Linked DNA regions of Oryctolagus cuniculus. The protein of the gene in region 2 purifies or fractionates together with the protein of the main gene of each other region. This does not show direct contact. Links are inferred from orthologs where the notes say so. Each region holds a gene or a part of one and is shown on either strand. Other genes may lie near its edges.

What was found.
Region 1: the proteins of RFC1 (region 2) and RFC4 fractionate together in Homo sapiens (co-fractionation; 7 studies listed by BioGRID and IntAct, counting the BioPlex papers as one, with this or other methods). This does not show direct contact. The link is inferred for Oryctolagus cuniculus from reciprocal best matches to the Homo sapiens genes RFC1 and RFC4.

The regions. Positions count from the first base shown.
Region 1 is NC_091435.1:96,451,565-96,457,289, forward strand, and holds the end of RFC4 (replication factor C subunit 4), read right to left. Parts: intron 3,576-5,725; coding exon 3,432-3,575; intron 3,017-3,431; coding exon 2,896-3,016; intron 2,364-2,895; coding exon 2,238-2,363; intron 1,475-2,237; coding exon 1,394-1,474; intron 1,317-1,393; coding exon 1,200-1,316; intron 1,121-1,199; coding exon 1,025-1,120; 3' UTR 974-1,024; downstream 1-973. Other genes in the region: EIF4A2 (eukaryotic initiation factor 4A-II), read left to right, coding at 195-339. UniProt on the Homo sapiens protein: Subunit of the replication factor C (RFC) complex which acts during elongation of primed DNA templates by DNA polymerases delta and epsilon, and is necessary for ATP-dependent loading of proliferating cell nuclear antigen (PCNA) onto primed DNA.
Region 2 is NC_091433.1:33,273,487-33,278,961, forward strand, and holds the start of RFC1 (replication factor C subunit 1), read right to left. Parts: upstream 3,654-5,475; 5' UTR 3,360-3,653; coding exon 3,357-3,359; intron 1-3,356. UniProt on the Homo sapiens protein: Subunit of the replication factor C (RFC) complex which acts during elongation of primed DNA templates by DNA polymerases delta and epsilon, and is necessary for ATP-dependent loading of proliferating cell nuclear antigen (PCNA) onto primed DNA.

The DNA.
Region 1 (5,725 bases), on a different chromosome or scaffold from region 2:
TGAATCCTTTTGGCACTAACTGCAAAGGAAGATTTTTTTCTCTAGATATTGATTAGCAGGTAGTGCTCCAATTAGCACGAACTATAACCTTGATAAGTAAACAGCAGCTGATGATTAACAAGTGGATCGTCATGTTCAATAGTTCACAAGTGCATGAGAAGTATTCTGATTGCTGCTTTCTTTTTCTTACACAGAATTGGCAGAGGGGGTCGATTTGGGAGGAAAGGTGTGGCTATAAACTTTGTTACTGAAGAAGACAAGAGGATTCTTCGTGACATTGAGACTTTCTACAATACTACAGTGGAGGAAATGCCCATGAATGTGGCTGACCTTATTTAATTCCTGGGATGAGATAGTTTGAATGCAGTGCTCGCTGTTGCTGAATAGGCGATCACAACGTGCATTGTGCTTCTTTCTTTGGGAATATTTGAATCTTGTCTCAATGCTCATAACGGATCAGAAATACAGATTTTGATAGCAAAGCGACATTAGTCGTGAGCTCTTGTGAGGAAAGTCATTGGCTTATTCCTCTTTAGAGTTAGACTGTTGGGGTGGGTATAAAAGATGGGGTCTGTAAAATCTTTCTTTCTTAGACATTTATTTCCTAGTTCTGTAGAAATGGTTGTATTAGATGTTCTCTATCATTTAATAATATACTTGTGGACTAAAAGGTATAAGTGCTGTATAAAATCAGCCAATTATGTTAAACTAGCATATCTGCCTTTATTGTGTTTGTCATTAGCCTGAATAGAAAGGCCTTTGAAATTGATTTTTTTTAAGAAAGCATTTGAATGCGTTTTTGTTTGGTATTGTATTTATTCAATAAAGTATTTAATTAGTGCTAAGTGTGAACTGGACCCTGTTGCTAGCCCCAGCAAGCAATCATATCTTAGGTAGGGTTAAACTCCCAGTAAAATTGCCATATTGCACATGTCTTAATGAAGTTTGAATGTTAAATAAATTGTATATTCACTTTAAGGTTTTTGGTCACTTTATTTACATTCCAAAAAATCTGTTACAAAATTTAACAATTCTGAGTTAGCTGCTGCATCACAGTGGCACAAAGGCTGAGCAATTGCAGATGCTCATCAGCGCCATCTGCTAAGCACTTGTCAACTTCCTGTAATACAAACAAGATGTTAGTGTTCTTTCAGGTAGACCCAAATAACTTAGCATGTGCAAAAGCAGTGCCTACTTACAGCCAATTTTTCAGTAATAATGGACTTCTGTTTGTCAGAGAGGTCGTCATTTTCCACAACCACATCATGAAGTTGATTTACAACCTGAGTTGCTGCATGACCCTCATCTATTAGGTCCTACAACAGAAAGGCAGCAGTTGATGGGAGCATGGGTCACTTCTTCCTTTACCCAGAGTTAATGAGCCGAATCTTACCTTTACCACACCTTCTAGTTTGTCAAAAGAGCCACCTTGACATGCAGCAAATATTCCATTGATTGTTTCTGGTGGTATTACCTAGAAAAGTCATTGGTTTCTGAAGTAGTATTAACTGGCAGAAGCAGTACTCAATAGGAAGCTTGTGCAGGAATTAGCCTGAAAACCCTATGGGCCTGAGTCACAGGGGTTCCTGTATATAGTCTAAGGAATAAGCAGCTCCTCTAGCCAGTGGTTGGGGGACTTGGAGCCCAACCTTTTTATTGACCCTGAGGTACTCCAGTGACAATTCTCCATGGCAGTAGTGAAAATCAACAAAGTCCCTTTTCTCCAAATTTCCCTCCATGGAAAGGTGCCACTAAGGAACTGGAAAGTCGACAACACTGATTACTCAAGTCATTTCCCAGCTAAGTTCACAGTGTACAAGGTAGTATGGCAGGTACTCAAATGACTTCTGTAAATTGGAAGTGCCTCTTAAAATCAAGCCTCTTCATCCGTGGCTTCTACATCACCGCTCAGTAAGGGGGAAGGTGTGTACTGATCTGAATGCACAAATTTTATCAGTATTTACTAAGTAGTACAGTATTAACTAGTTAACAAAGCATTTTATGTATAAAGGGATTGGTAAGATTTGGGGACCCGTGGGTCCCTGAAACCAATCCTCATTGGATACACAAGGAATGACCAACTCTGGCAAAATAGGTGAAACCTATCTGCTGAAAAATCTTAAGTACCACAAAGGTACATTTACTTGTAAAATTTTAAAGTATAATTTGACAGTGTTAACTGGGTGAAAATCCCCTTACAGCCACCTAAAAATTGCAGAATTATCCTATGTTCTTACCCCAGCAATGTCTGTGATTACATTTTCCGTGACCTCCTTTCCACCTGTGAGTCTAGTAGCACTTTGAAGAAAAGTAATGGCTTTTCTCAAGTCTCCTTCGGACACTTTAACAAGATAAGCTATTCCCTGAAGAGAAAAGAGTTGTTTTTAACCTGTGATGGCCAATTAAGGCATTTTCCTTTAATAAAATGAAAGGGGGGGGGGCATGCCATCATTTCTGTGTATGGAAGAATACCATCAGTCCTGTTGTCCTATTGTAACTGAGTTCATGGACAAAGCATGTGTCCAGTGGAAGGATTAGGGATGAGACAAAAAGACAGTTCTAACTTCTCTATCGTAGTTAAATTTTCTTATAATGACTAAGGCCTTATATATTCCTATAACTTGAGACAGCACAGTATTAGGTAGGAGACTAGAGATTTGTTGCAGAATTTGTGTTATATGTATGAAATCCCCCTCAGTTTTGGGTTGGGACTCTGAAATCTCGAAACAGTGACCAAAAGCTAAACCGTGTGATTCCTAGATATTCCTATTGTTGCTCATTTAACTTAGGTTTCCTGAAGAATTAGCATCAGGACTGAGGAAATACATTTAACTGTTTTAGGGTCTCATGCATTCATCAAAGCAATCAGTAATTGTAATAATAATCAGTATTTACCTCATTGCTAATTATAACATTTTCCTTCTCAGCAATGTCCAGTAATCGCTGCTGTTGAATTTTATCTGACAAAGGCTTGAACCGGAATTTTGAACACCTAGAGGTCAGGGGTTCAATTATTCTGCAAAAGATTACAAAAAACGAGTCAGGAACAAACCTGTGCTGCGTTGTGGCATAGTGGGTAAAGCTACCACCAGTGTCACAGGCATCCCATATGCTCCTGATCCAGCTCCCTGCTGATGGCCTGGGAAAAGCAATGGAGGATGGCCCAAGTACTTGGGCCCCTGCCACCTACATGGGAGACCCAGATGAAGTTCCTGGCTTTGGCCTAGCCAGAGTGAACCAGTGGATGAAAGATTTGTCTCTTTTCTCACTATCTGACTTTCAAATAAATAAATAAATCTTAAAAACAAAACAAAACCCCGATTTGATGCATGACAAAGTGCAGCCTCCAAAAATTTAATTTTTTTTCTCCTCCAAATTGAAGATACCAAAATAAGGCTGTCTAATACTTATCTTTTGGGCGATATACCTACCGGCTTACATAGTTACAGATGAGACAGAACCGGGTGGTTTTTGATTCTTTCTCCATGGTACGTCTTAAAGCTGCTTGAGCAGCTGAGGTCATAGAATCTGCTTCATCCAAGATCACAATCTTAAAAGGAGGACATGGCTTCCCACTAATTCAGAGAAACACAGGAATTGAACACTAACATATATGTTGTTTTTAACAGCATGGCTTAGATATAATACACATGCAGTTTACCCACTTTATATGTACAAGACAGTGCTTTCTAGTATACAGTAAACCCCTCACCTCAGGCATCCCTAATGGATGCCAGAAACTGGACAACACCGAATCTATTTTCTTCATATATAGACATACCTATGATAAAGTTCAGTTTAAAAATCAGGCAGAGTATGGTTAACAACTAATGATAGCAGAACAGGTATAATATACTGTAATAAAATTGCCAGCGTCCACCCTTGCACTTAGGGGCCACTATTAAGTAAAATAGCGTTACTTGAATATAAGCACTGTGATACTCCAGTCAACCTGATAACCAAGACAGCTTATGAAATGTTTCTAGAATTTTCCATGTAGTACATTCAGACTAGATGACTGTGGGTTACTGAAACCCCAAAAAGCAAAACCAGGAGGAGCCCTGTGGCATGATATCTCATATCAGAGTGCCTGGATAGAGTCCCGTCACTGCTTCCAATCCAGCTCCCTGCTGATGCACCAGAAAGGCAGCAGATGATGGCCCAGGTACTTGGGTTCCTGCCACCCGTGGGAGACCTGGCTGGAGTTTCTGGCTCCTGCTTCGGCCTGGCCCAGCCATGTCTGTTGCAGGCATTTATGGAATGAGTCAGCGGACAGATTTCTCTGTCTCCCTCTCTAAATAAATAAATCTTTAAAAATAAAAAAAGCAAAACTCAAACTGCAACAAGGGAGATGACTGAATTCCCAGAGTTGTGTAACCATCACCACAGTCTAATTTTGGGAGAACTTTTTACTCCAGCTAAGAACTCTGTACCCATTAGGAGTCACACCTCCAATTCTCCCACCTCTAAGTTATCTCTAGTCTATTTTATGTCTCAAAAGATTTACCTATTCTGACATCTCATAAGGCTAGCACCTTACGTTTTTTTTTTAAAGATTTATTATTTATTGAAAGGCAGAGTTTACAGAGAGGTGGGGGGTGGGGGGTGGGGGTGGGAATCTTCCATCCATTGGCTCACTCCCCAAATAGCCTCAACAGCCAGAGTTGGGCTGATCTCTGGTCCGGAGCCAGGAGCTTCTTCCAGGTCTCCCACCTGGGTGTGGGGGCCTGAAGATCTGCTGCTGCTTTCCCAGGCCAATAGCAGGGAGCTAGATTGGAAGTGGAGCAGCAGCACTAGAACCCACGCCTGTATGGGATGCTGGTATCATAGGTGGCAGTTAAGCTGGTATGCCACAATGCCAGCCCCTCTTAAGTTTTTCAGAGTTCATCCATGTTGTACAGAGTGTCGTGGCTGCATTCCTTTTTATTGCTGAATGCTATGGTAAATGAATACACCACATCTTATTCATCCATTCATCAAGTACACATTTGGGTTCTCCCATGTTTTGGCTATCAGAAATAATGATATAATAATCTTTAAGCAGACACGTTTATTTCTTGTAGGCATGTACCTCGGAGTATGGGTCATAGGGTAACTTTTTGAGGAACTGCCAAACTTTTCAGAGAAGCTGTACCATTACACGTTCCACTCAGCAATGTATGAAGGTCACAGTTTCTGCACATCCTTGCCAATATTTGCTGTTTTCTGTCTGGTTAATTATAACCATACTACTGAATGCAAAGTGGCATCTTATCATGGTTTTGATTTTCACTTCCCTAATGGCTAATGAGATTGAAGATCTTTTCATGGGCTGTTGGCCACCTGTATATCTTCTTTGGAGAAATGTTTATTCCAATCCCTTGACCATCTTTTAATTGGGTTGTTAATCAGTTTTAAGAGCTCTTCATGTATTCTGGGTATGTATGTCCTTTTTCAGATCAATGATTTGTAAATACCTTCTCCTACTTTGTGGACTTTCACTTTCTGTACACTGATTTTGATAATCAGCCATTAAAATTTTTCTCCAACCAAAAATGTCACTAATACAACTAAATGAAAATATTATCAAGAAAATGGATTTTTAAATATTAAAGGCAGAAGGGACTCTCAGAGATCTTACAGTTAACTCACAGAAGAGGAAATCGAGTGCTGCAGAGGCTGTTATTATCTCAAATCAAGGAGGATATAAGAAATAATAAACCACTGTCTGCAAATTTTGAAATGT
Region 2 (5,475 bases):
CAAAAGCCCTGAGACAGAAACAATCAGCCTAAGGCACTCAAAAGACTGATGAAATCAAGAGAGGTAGCTAGGAGCCCTATAGGCCCACACTGGTTTATGTGGTAAAAGCCACATCGCAACAGGGTCATGGCACCATTCCTAGGGACGCATTTCACACAGTGAACCGTGATGTGAAGCACACCACACAGGGCAGGGCAATGAAGCAGCTCAAATTATAATGTATTTAGACTGACATGACAGTTGCTCAAAAAGCTGGCTCTTAAGTCTAATGAAGGTTTTACACAACCTTACACATACTTTCAAGAATTCTATCAGGAAATTCACTGTATACACTGACTTTTTCAAAATGGCCATTTCTCAGGTTTGACACTTTGAGCGAATATCACAGCAATTCAAATTGTTTACATGCCTTCTTTTTCATTCCTTTTGTTTTTAATTTTCTATCCTTTAATAGCTAATATGTTCTTTATTAATAGTTTTAATTTGAATGGCAGAGAGACAGAGACATATGGAGAGAGATCTTCCATTAGCTGGTTCACACCCTAAACGCCTACAACTGTTGGGGCTGGGCCAGGCTGCAGCCATGAGCCAGCAACTCAATCAGGGTCTCCAATGTGGAAGACCCTACTTAAGCCATCACCTGCAGCATCCCAGGGTGTGCATTAGCAGGACGCTAGAATTGGATGTAGAGCTGAGACTCAAATCCAGACACTCCAACATGAGTTTCAGGCATCCCAAGTGGCATCTTAAGTGTTGCACCAAATGCCCACCCCAATAATATATTCACACAGTTCAAAATTCACAAGAGGAAAATGTATCCCTTCCTACCATGTCTCTCAAACACATACTTCCCATGTCTGGAGGCAACAAATGTTATCAGCTAGCTCCTTGTATGACTTTACAGAAAGATTTTATATCTTGATAATTATTTCATATCACAGCATTAACATTTCTCAGTTTCCTAATGGTTGCAGAATATTCTATTGTGTGCATACAGTATTTTATTCATTTACTGAGTAATTATTTTATAAGTATTATATTCATTTACTTTTAATTGAGAACTATTTGAAAAACATGCAGTTCTCTGGGCAAGAGATGTTATGTTTCATCCACAGTTGGGCTTCAGAAAATAGGTAAATCCCCTAAAACGGTGTGCATGTACCCATATGTACTCCTCTGGACAAAAATTTGCATACCACTCACCACATTTATCAAAGGAACTACAACCCAGAGGTTACCACTGTCCTATAATAAAACTTGTACACAGGTGCTTATAAACTCTTGAATACAAATTTTAGTCTCGATTTTTGCTAATGTTTGTATTTGAGTCTGGAGGGCTAAATTAAATACCAATGTAGTCCAAAACTCTTATCTACTTTGAGCCTTTTCTCATTAATAAATGGTAAAACTGACCCACTGGGGCTAGCGCTGTAGCATAAGATGCGGCAGTGCCCCATGTGGGCGCCAGTCCAAGTCTCCACTGCTCCACTTCCAATACAGCTCTTTGCTATGGCCTTGGGCCCCTGTTCCCAAGTGGGAGATTCTGAGGAGGCTCCTGACCAGTCGGACTCTGGCCATTGCGGCCACTTGGGGAGTGAACCAGCAGATGGAAGACCTTTCTCTCTCTCTCTGCCTCTGCCTCTCTGTAACTCTGGTTTTCAAATAAATCTTTAAAAAAAAAAAAAAAACTGACCTATTTGATCTGAATTTTCAGATTCATTTTTCACCTGCACCACGAATAGGAGTACTAAAGAATGGATTGAAATTAAATGTACCTGACAGCTCAAAAGCTGACCATTTAACCCACTGCTCATAACTGACAACACAAGAAGCACCGATCATATTCCTTAAACTCTATTTGACTTTCCAAAGAGTTCATTTTGAGAAAGTTCATTATTGTTGGTTGACTAGTTGTGTAATATCTGCTATATGCCATGCCCTAGAATGGAAGTTTTACATATATTATATACTTGCTGCATTGTCAAAACAATCCCTTAAGGCCAGTAGCATTTACCTCCTCTTTCAGGTAAGAAAACAGGCTCAAAGAACTACTTACCTGCCCAGACGTTAAGTACTAAACTAAATTATAATGCTACAGTACTATGAACTATTATACTAAAACCATCCACCCCCTCTTCACCTTCAAGATGTCACATCTCACCAAGTTCCCACAATACCATAGTGCCTGAACTCCAAAATGCAATGAGGACCATTTTAGAGAGGCAGTGTAATGTAGTGGTCAGAAATACCTAGGCTCTCACTATGATCACCGTAGTGGTTGTATGACAAACCTCAACACTCAACAAAATGCCTCTACCATCTGCAAAACTCTACCGGTGTGGGCTGAAAGAGCAGATAAAGCACCTGGCTCACACTGACCTGAAGTCGCTCGGACAGGGAGGGTGTCTACTGTCATCATTATTTTATCGTTTTTTGAGAAGAAATACAAAAAGGTGCAAGGTTTCCCAATGTGGCATAAAACACTTTCCCCCTGGAATGCTGTCATTCTGACAAGTTGGAGAACGAAAAAAAAAATTATAGCTGATCATTAACTATCTTCTGGCTTAATGGAACATCTTAAATTGTCTTAAATTAAAAATACTTCACATGTTGCCATGTTCTCACGAATGTGTTTTGCAGCTGCATGTTTTCCCCATCAACTCGTGTGAATGCTTATCCAGAACGACACACTGAGATTCTGCACGTTCTTTAAAGATCTCAACACCAGGTGACGAGGGATGACAGCTGTCAAATACATTACACCTGCTTCTCCTCCCTGTAAATCGGCTTTCTGGTAAACCAACCGTGGGATCTCTTGGACTCCTATGAGCTCATCTAAGTAAAATACCTTCTCCACGCACCCCCGGTCTCCAAAAGACCGAGACGGGCGCTTGGTGGAGTTCTCAAGAATCAAAGCTGAAGGCCTGACACAGCTGATTCAAGAGAAAGGAAAGGTTGTTACATTCTTCTTCCTTAGGAGCCACACCTGGAAATCGGCTTCCTGGGAAGGACTCACACTGAGGTGTGGGGCAACGCTTAACAGGAAGAAAACTTCACAGCTGCATTCCCAAGCCACCATCATTACTCTCCTCCTTCCTCCCTTCCCCCAAAAGTAGAGGTGGGGGGTGGGGAGGGAAAGTGCCGCGTTGCACTCAAATCCCTGCGCCCTAGCAGCACGGGCTGCAGTCCGCGGACCCGCGAAAGCCGTGCGCCCCGTGCCGGGTGGGTGGCCCCTCTGCGCCTCGGCTCCCCATCGCCGTCCTCCCCCGCTCCGCATACCACGAATGCCCCGTCCACACCCGGCCTGCCAAGGCCTCCCGAGCCCTCCAGCCGCACGACCTCCCCCAGGGGCTCACCATCGCCGCCCCAGGACTAAGGCGCGGGCGGGCGGCTGGGCGTGCTGGCCGTCTGGGGAATCCGTTATCGGGTCTCGGGATCCATTCGCGCCAACAACTTCTCCCGCGAAGTGGAAGAAGCGGCGGCAGCAGCGCGCGGTGATGACGTCACGAGACGCGCGCTTCCCCTCGGCCCCGCCCGGAGGCGGGAGGTGCAACGTGGGCCCAGGTGCCGCCCCGGAGGCTGTCCTCGCGGGGAACTGCGGGACCGGGCTGAGGGGCGTAGCTTTGCGTCGTCGGCGTTCGGCCCGGGCACCCACGTGGTACATCGGAAACCCAGGTTCCTCCCAGTTACACGTCTGGAGGGGACACCGCCCTCCAGTAGCTTTCCAAAGTTTTTAGCTCTACGGGCGGTAAGATCCACAGGCGAGGTGTACGTTGCATGTGGTACATGCAACTATCCTGAAACAAGAATCTCACCAAACACGGGTTACCCTGATCTGCGCTTCTCTTCACGTTTGACCCACCTGATCGGCTTTCTTCACCTGCTAATAAGAGGATACGAACAGTGTGAAAGACGCGAGCCTAAGGGTGATCTTTATATATTGTACAACTCAGACAGTGACTCATCCATCACCACAGTCCTGCCCGTTGATGAGCAAACAAGTTAAGGGGTCAATGTTGTTACAGACCCAAGGTGTTGGACATCTTGGCTTCCTAATTCCCAAACCTGAGCCACTCCGCCATGGCCCCCACAGGGCTGTGGTCTGGGGCCCGCATTCCGAACCAGACCTCGGATTCGAATCCTGGCTGCTCCTTTTCTGATCCCGCTCCTTGCTCATGCACCAGAGAAAGCAGCCAATGGTGGTCCAGGTACAAGGGGCCCCCCATGGAGTTCCCGCTTCGTCGCGGCCCCCTCTAGCTGTTGGCGGCCATTTGGAAAGTGCACCAGCGGATGCTGCTCTCTCCCTCTCCCTCAAATAAATCTTGGGGGGGGGGGGGGGGCAAGGCTTAGAAAAGGTGTGTCTCCGTAGAAAAACTATGATCCAGGAAGTCACAGTCACAGAGAAGTCCCTGAATCGTGGAATAGAATGCAACATTTGCATTCAATTTTAAGAGAGAATACGAGACCATGAAGAGTTTTGTGGAGAAAACAGTATCTCCAGCTTTGACCTTAAACTTTCTATTCCTTGGGTCTTGCACTTGGTGATCCCAGTATCTCTACACTGATAGATGGCAGAGCCTTCTAGAATACAACAAAGGTTGGGCACTGTGAGCTTGTGGTGTTTAAACACACCTACTGCGGTGTGTGCCAGACATGCAGCTCTGTGCTCTCCGACTGTAGCTCATTTCATCTCCACGTTGACACTGAAGACTTAAAATTTACCAGCTGTGACTCAGGAACAGGGCCTGGCTGCACAGTGCGCTCTGAGGCCGTTTGCTAGGTTCCTGGCCCCACCACGGGCTAGCTCGGTGACCTTAGGCAAGTGTCTGTGCCTCGACTGCAAAATAAGAACAGTACTACTTCATAGGGCTGTTACGGAACTGTTCCTGGCATGCAAGCAGAAGAAATCGTTCGTTTTTAAGACATGATTATTATTATCACACAATGCTGATGTTTTAAAGGGAGATAGTTATCTACTCCATGGTTTTGCTTACGGAAACATTTGGTTCACAAAAGGGGAGTCATTAGATGCTTTGCAAAATCAATGGAAGGGGTGATGTGGCATAACCGGTAAAGCTACCACCTGCAGTGCCAGCATGCCATATAGGGACTGGTTCCAGTCCCTGCTGCTCCACTTCTGATCCAGCTCTTCTACAGCCTGGGGAGTGGGCCAGCAGATGGAAGATCTCTCTCTCTCTCTCTCTCTGCCTTTCACATAATTAAATAAATATTTTTTAAAAAAATCAATGGAAACTGGGGCCAGTGTTGTGGCATAATGGATAAAGCTGCTGCCTGCAGTGCCAGCGTCCCATATGGGTGCCGGTTCGAGACCTGGCTGCACCACTTCCAATCCAGCTCTCTGCTATGGCCTGGGAAAGCAGTAGAAGATGGCCCAAGTCCTTGGACCCCTGCACTCATGTGGGCCATTTGGGGAGTGAACCAGAGGGTAGAAGAAGGAACTCTTTCTCTGCCTCT